2 linked regions of the Oryctolagus cuniculus genome follow. The protein of the gene in region 1 interacts with the protein of each later gene in a biochemical or structural test. Links are inferred from orthologs where the notes say so. Each region holds a gene or a part of one and is shown in the gene's direction. Other genes may lie near its edges.

Region 1 (3,650 bases):
TTTGCAGATGTGATCGGAGCCCTCTGGCACCCTGACTCCTGCGAAGCTGTGAACCCTACTCGATTCCGAGCCGTCTTCCAGAAATACGTTCCCTCCTTCTCTGGATACAGGTGGGAGAGTCTGGCCATGTCTGAGGGTGAGGCCAGGTGGGGGCCTGGGCAGTATTGTTCTGGGCCTGGAGGTGTTTTTATCCTGCAAGTGGGGACCCCATCTGGGCAGGGCTAGTGTCTGGATGAGGACGGATCGTGGCCCACACTCTCTCGTCTGGCTGTAGCCAGCAGGATGCCCAAGAGTTCCTGAAGCTCCTCATGGAGCGACTACACCTTGAAATCAACCGACGAGGCCGCCGGGCTCCCCCGATCCTGGCCAACGGTCCAGCTCCCTCTCCACCCTGCCGAGGAGGGGCGCTGCTAGAGGAGCCTGAGTTAAGGTAAGGGCCCGTCCCTGCCCTCGTACCCCCGGGAGTTCCGCAGCGACATGCAGCCTTCACAGAACCCTGCTAGTCCAGACTGAAGTGGCAGGGGCTGGGAAACCCTTTAGTGTACAAAATGGTTTAAGAAGCAGTGCAGAAGTGAAAGGAAGGACGTGGGGGAGGAAGACTGAGGGGTGCAGATGGAGGCAGAAGATATGCTGGGGACGTCACTCAGGAGGGAGGGGACAGTTTATAACAGAGCTCCTTAGAAGGGTTTGAAGCTAGGTGGAGGGAGACAGCCTGTTCCCTTGTGTACATTTTCCTTTCACCTTGGATTTCCCCCAGAAGTCCCTTGAAGCATGACTCCTTTGACTTTTCCTGGAAGTCCAGGGGAGGAGCTGGGTTGTGGGTGGCGTGCAGGGCTCTGTGGTGTTGGGGGTTCCCAGTGCTCCTGCTGCCTCACGGGTGCTCCCCACTTCCCCTGATCTGTGGTAGTGACGATGACCGAGCCAACCTAATGTGGAAACGTTACCTGGAGCGAGAGGACAGCAAGATTGTGGGTATGGAATGGGGGGAAAATGTGGGAACACGAGTGGGGGTGGGGGAGGGGTACACAGGCTTCAGAGGAAAGAAAAGCTGGCATTGTCAGGGGGGTGAGAGCAGGACCGGGTGATGGAAACCAGAAATAGCGTGGGGAGTTTGTTTGGAGTGTTGGTGGTGGGAACGGACCCGGCCAGGGAAGAGGCGGGTATCAGAGAAAGCTTGTCAGGCCCCCAACAGTGACTCGTTCTTCTGTCCCTTTGCTTCTGTCCAGACCTGTTTGTGGGCCAGTTGAAAAGTTGTCTCAAGTGCCAGGCCTGTGGGTATCGCTCCACGACCTTCGAGGTTTTTTGTGACCTGTCCCTGCCCATCCCCAAGGTGGGATTCCAGAGGATGCCAGGGGTGGATGGGACGGGGGTTCTGTGACCCGGCCCTAGCCACCTCCAGAGTGCGGGCGGGACTCCTGTGGGTCTCTGGAGCGGAACTGACGCTGGACTGATTGAGAAGAATCCGAAAAGGAAATGGAGACCACACTGACCCTCCCTTCCCTGTTGCCCCCTGCTCTGCAGAAAGGATTTGCTGGGGGCAAGGTGTCTCTGCGGGATTGTTTCAGCCTTTTCACCAAGGAAGAAGAGCTAGAATTGGAGAACGCCCCAGTATGTGGGGGTTCACAAGGGATGTAACAAGGGTGGGACAGGAGGGGGCCTCCTGGGGAAAAGGGACCGCGAGATGCCTTAGTGTGGGAAGAACTCACATGTCTGGGCTTGTGTTGGAGCCTCTGGTACACGGCCTGGTGCTCCTAGGGCAAGGGGGTGCGGCCGGGGTTACGGCAGCAACGGGGAGCACACCACATTTGAGAGTGGACTGCGCTGGAGCCGCCTGGGGGGAGGAGCGCATCAACCTAACACCATTTGGCGTTTATTCAGGTGTGTGACCGGTGTCGGCAGAAAACGCGGAGTACCAAAAAGCTGACAGTGCAGAGGTTCCCCCGAATCCTCGTGCTCCGTATCCTAATCCTCAGTTTCTTATTTCTCTTAGGCTATCTCCCCTGCGTTCTCTTGCAGAGGCTGGCCACGGGGAGCTGAGGTCTCCTTAGGAAAAGCCTAACCCCCAGCCTTCCTTCCAGGGCGCCCAGTATGGGTCGGGGGAGGGGAGAGGACACTATTCAGGCCCAGTCCCCTCTAGAGATCCCCCCGCCTCCCAATGCTCCTTAACCAGGGCTTAGATCTGAATCGATTTTCCACCTCCCGAGGCTCCATCAAGAAAAGTTCAGTAGGTGTAGACTTCCCGCTGCAGCGACTGAGCCTAGGGGACTTTGCCAGTGACAAAGCCGGTGAGTCTGGTGGGGAAGGCCCCATGGAACCCTGAGAAGGGGGCACTGCACTGTTCTAAGGAGTTCTCCAACCCCTCAGGAAGCCCTGTATACCAGCTGTATGCCCTTTGCAACCACTCGGGCAGCGTCCACTATGGCCACTACACAGCCCTGTGCCGGTGCCAGACTGGTTGGCATGTCTACAATGACTCTCGGTGAGAACAGCCTCCTCTTGACTCCCGCCCGTTCCTGCTGCAGCCCTGACACCCTGCCGTGAGGCCCACGGGAGCAGAGTGCCTGGGGACAGGCGAGCTGGGGTCTCTCCTGAGCGCTCCCTGGATGCCCTGGGGTTGTCTAGTGGGGAGGAGGGACTCTACAAGGCTGGTGACAAGCCTCTCTCCCCATCTCCCTTCCTAGTGTCTCCCCTGTCAGTGAAAACCAGGTGGCATCCAGTGAGGGCTACGTGCTGTTCTACCAACTGATGCAGGAGCCGCCCCGGTGCCTGTGACGGTCCCTTTAAGCCCTGGCACCTGTGAAACCCTTTCAACACCCTTCAGCCCCAGGCTTCCCATTTACCTCAGAGACGTCTATTTTTGTGTCTTTTTAATCAGGGAGGGGGGGAGGGGGTGGCTGTAGCTCCCGTTATTTTTTTTATTAAAAAGTACCCTTCCAACCTGGAGGCTCCCTTGTCTCCCAGCCCCCTGTACAGAGCTCACCAGGCCCCGGCCCATGTACAGCCCCCAGACCCTCTGCAAACTCACTTTTTTGTGAATAAATTTATTAAGAAAAAGTGATGTCCATAGTTGCATTTGTGCCTAGTGGATGGAGGTGAATGAATTGGGCCCGGGGATCTTGTTGGGACCCAGTTCTCTCTCTGAACAGATGGGGGGAGGGGGTGCTCAAAGTCCAAGGGGAAGGGTCGCGGGGTGGGGGCGGGGGGCGTGGACCCGGACATGTGTGCCTGAGCAGTGAAGGTTTTGTATTGGAAGAAGGAAAACTCCGAGGAGGCCAGAAAAGGGAATGCAGGCACTGGGGCCGCGGGTTTCGCCGGCCATGGGGGCTGCCCCTGGAGGGCGAGACACCCAAGAACCCCTGTTGACAAACATAGTACGTTGCCGGGCGGCCCTAGCTCCCGTAGGCCCCATCTGTTGCTAACATCAAGAAGCTGTTTGTGGAGCCGCCTCCCCGCGGACTGCCTCCAGTGTCTCCATCTATTTTCCCTACAACCAAACCTCACGAGGCCCTGCCTCCAGGGCTCTCGCCCTTATCTGGGCCTGGGACGCCTGAACTGGAGAATGCGAGCTGCAGGATTCTGCGCGGGCCCTGGGACGGGCAGGGCCGGTCACGACTGCTCGCTCCCATTTGGCACTGAAGCAGTTAACCTCC
Region 2 (3,127 bases), about 130 Mb from region 1:
AGTGAGACAGTGGATATGGGCAGTGAGACGGTGGACGTGGGCAGTGAGACTGTGGACATGGCAGTGAGACAGTGGATATGGGCAGTGAGACTGTGGACGTGGGCAGTGAGACGGTGGACATGGGCAGTGAGACAGTGGATGTAGGCAGTGAGACGGTGGATGTGGGCGGTGAGACGGTGGACGTGGGCAGTGAGACTGTGGACGTGGGCAGTGAGACGGTGGACGTGGGCAGTGAGACAGTGGACGTGGGCAGTGAGACGGTGGATGTGGGCGGTGAGACGGTGGACGTGGGCAGTGAGACGGTGGATGTGGGCAGTGAGACGGTGGATGTGGGCGGTGAGACGGTGGACGTGGGCAGTGAGACAATGGACATGGGCAGTGAGACTGTGGACGTGGCAGTGAGACAGTGGATATGGGCAGTGAGACTGTGGACGTGGGCAGTGAGAGTGCACGTGGGCAGTGAGACAGTGGATGTGGGCAGTGAGACTGTGCACGTGGGCAGTGAGACCGTGGACATGGAAGTGAGACAGTGGACGTGGGCAGTGAGACGGTGGACGTGGAAGTGAGACGGTGGACGCCTGCTCCCTTCACTAAGTGTCTGTGCTTTTTCTCTGACAGCTCAGCGGAGATGGTGCCCCAGGGAGTTCTGGGCCGGGGAGGCAGGGTCAGGGTTGATACTCAGAATCATGGCGGGCACACTTTGCTTTTCCATTCTTAAAAATTTCATTCACTTATTTATTTATTTAAATACCTCATTTTTATTTAGTCTCAGCCAACTTTGGTGTGTGCTGTTTGTGACAGCAGAAACTTGGGAACAACCTCGACTGGCCGTCCGGGGCTGGTGGGGCTGCACTCCTGGCCATCAGTCCCGTCCCGTCTCGGGAGCTCGGCCACGCGCTGGTGCCTGTCGGCAAAGGAGGCGGTTGATGACCTGCTGCTCCACAGGCGGTGAAAATGGCGAGAGCTCTTGTTTTGTTTTTTAGGTGAAATTCATGTAAAAGACATTAAAATGTTTGTTTATTTTATTTGAAGACAGGGAGAGAGCTGTTTCCCTCCACTGGTTCACACACCAAATGCCCACAAGAGCCAGGGCTGGGCTTGGCTGAAGCCGGGAGACAGGAGCTCTTCCTGGGTCTCCCTTGTGGGTGCAGGGGCCCAGGTACCTGAGCCGGGCACCAGCAGGGAGCTGGCACTGGAGGTGGCGTCAGGACTTGAAGCAGGCGTTCCTGTGTGGGCATCTCCACTGCTCCCTTTTAAATTGTGGTTTTTTTCATTGTTGAACTTGTAAGAATTCTCTACGCCCACAGAGACCCTTATCAGACACATGTGCAAACATTCTGAGTTCACTTCGAAAGGCAGCAAAATACACTTGGTCTTTCATTGAGAAACAACCTGACCAGAGGCCACGTCCTGAGCCCACGGAGGTCTCCGTGGGGGGGGGGGGGCTGGGACTGTTGGCGTCCTATGTAGTTCTGGAAGTGACCGCCGTGACGTTTCCTGGCCTCATCAATTTTGCAATCTGGCAAATGGAAACCGAAAGTCTCCAGTCCCCAGCCCACGTCCCTGTGAGCGCTGAGTGTCCTGCTGAGGACTCCGGGTGCTGGTGCTGGGCATTGCTGGGCACGGCTAGGCAGGCTGCCGGGGCACTGTGGGGGCCCCTTGCCGTGCCCCCACCCCTGGAGCTGTGCCAGCTCACATCGTCTTTCTGTTTTGTTTCTCCTACTCCCTCTGGGGCTCGCCCTGGGAAAAGGAAACCAAAACCAAAGCCTGCTTGGCCCCGGCACCAGCTGGGCGGCAGCACCGCCCCCTGACGTCCGCAGCCGAGGCCCATAAATGGGCTGAGGCTGGCCGGGAACGCGCTAGAGGCTGAGGGGCAGCGGCATTGCCAGGGACTGAGCAGCACCCAGAAGCAGCCACGGCCATGGTAAGCCGGGACGCGCGGTGTCGGGGGGCGCGTGGTCCGGCCGGTTTTCCTCCCCCTCGTCTGTCTGGTGGGGTTTCCCAGGGTGGGGACAGGAGGGGCGCATCGGCGGACGCAGGGGGCTGCACCTGCGGCTGGCGCCTGGTGTGCGGACCCAGGCCTGGCGCCGGTCTCTGAGCCCTGGTGATGCCCACAGGGGAAGGACCTGAAGGTGAAGATGCTGGGCAGCAAAGAGATCTCAGTGCCCCTGAGCGAGTCCCTGACGGCGTCGGAGCTGAAGCGGCGGATCGCCCAGGAGACTGGCGTGCCGGCCTTCCAGCAGCTCCTGGCTGTGCACCCCGGGGGGGCGGCGCTGCTGGAGGAGGTCCCCCTGGTCGCCCAGGGCCTGGGGCCGGGAAGCACGGTGCTGCTGCTGGTGCAGAAGTGTGACAACCCGCTGAGCATCCTGGTGCGCAATGACAGGGGCCGCAGCAGCGCCTACGAGGTGCTGCTCACCCAGACGGTGGCCCAGCTCAAGCTGCAGGTGGCCCAGCGGGAGGGCCTGCAGCCGGACCTGTTCTGGCTGAGCTTCGAGAACAGGCCCATGGAGGACCAGCACCTGCTGGGGGAGTACGGCCTCCAGCCGCAGTGCACCGTGTACCTGAACCTCCGCCTGCGGGGCGGATCTGCCGGGACCCGGCCCTGCTAATAAACAGAAGTAGCTGCCTCCCGGGTCCCCTCTCTGCCCATCACCCCTCCTGTGTCCCCAATTCTGCAGCCCTGTGGGGGCGGTCTGGTTGCCAAGTTATGGGACAAGGGCTTCATGGTAGGGTCATGACAGGGACAGCCTCACATAGGAAAGTCACGTGTGCCAGAGCTGACCTGGCCAGGCTGAGCCAGGCAGCCCCTCACTGCTCACCCCACAAGCTCCGGGGGTGGGGGGGCGGGAGCAGGGCGGCAGCTCTGCTCAGGGCCCATTGGCCACAGGGCAGGCCCCACCCCCAGAGTCCCTGGAACCAGTGAGGTGGGGAGAGGTCCACACCCCATGGGGCAGGGGGCCAGGAACCTTCTGGACTGCCCAGTCCTGCCTGCCTTGGTCCTGGGAGGTGTAGGGCGGGGCCTGAGCACTCACCATCAGGGTTCACATCACCCCCTCAGGAGAGTGTGGACAGTGCATGAGGGCACCTGGATCTGGGACTCACCTGCCCTGATGGGGCTTGGGGGTGG

The links.
Region 2: the proteins of USP21 (region 1) and ISG15 form a complex in vitro, tested with the Homo sapiens proteins (2 studies listed by BioGRID, with this or other methods). The link is inferred for Oryctolagus cuniculus from reciprocal best matches to the Homo sapiens genes USP21 and ISG15.

Annotation. Positions count from the first base shown.
Region 1 is NC_091438.1:37,627,588-37,631,237, reverse strand, and holds the end of USP21 (ubiquitin carboxyl-terminal hydrolase 21), read left to right. Parts: coding exon 1-110; intron 111-274; coding exon 275-430; intron 431-907; coding exon 908-972; intron 973-1,226; coding exon 1,227-1,330; intron 1,331-1,521; coding exon 1,522-1,608; intron 1,609-1,878; coding exon 1,879-1,957; intron 1,958-2,177; coding exon 2,178-2,285; intron 2,286-2,364; coding exon 2,365-2,479; intron 2,480-2,681; coding exon 2,682-2,772; 3' UTR 2,773-3,054; downstream 3,055-3,650. UniProt on the Homo sapiens protein: Deubiquitinates histone H2A, a specific tag for epigenetic transcriptional repression, thereby acting as a coactivator.
Region 2 is NC_091438.1:164,356,658-164,359,784, reverse strand, and holds ISG15 (ubiquitin-like protein ISG15), read left to right. Parts: upstream 1-1,269; 5' UTR 1,270-1,921; coding exon 1,922-1,924; intron 1,925-2,117; coding exon 2,118-2,609; 3' UTR 2,610-2,627; downstream 2,628-3,127.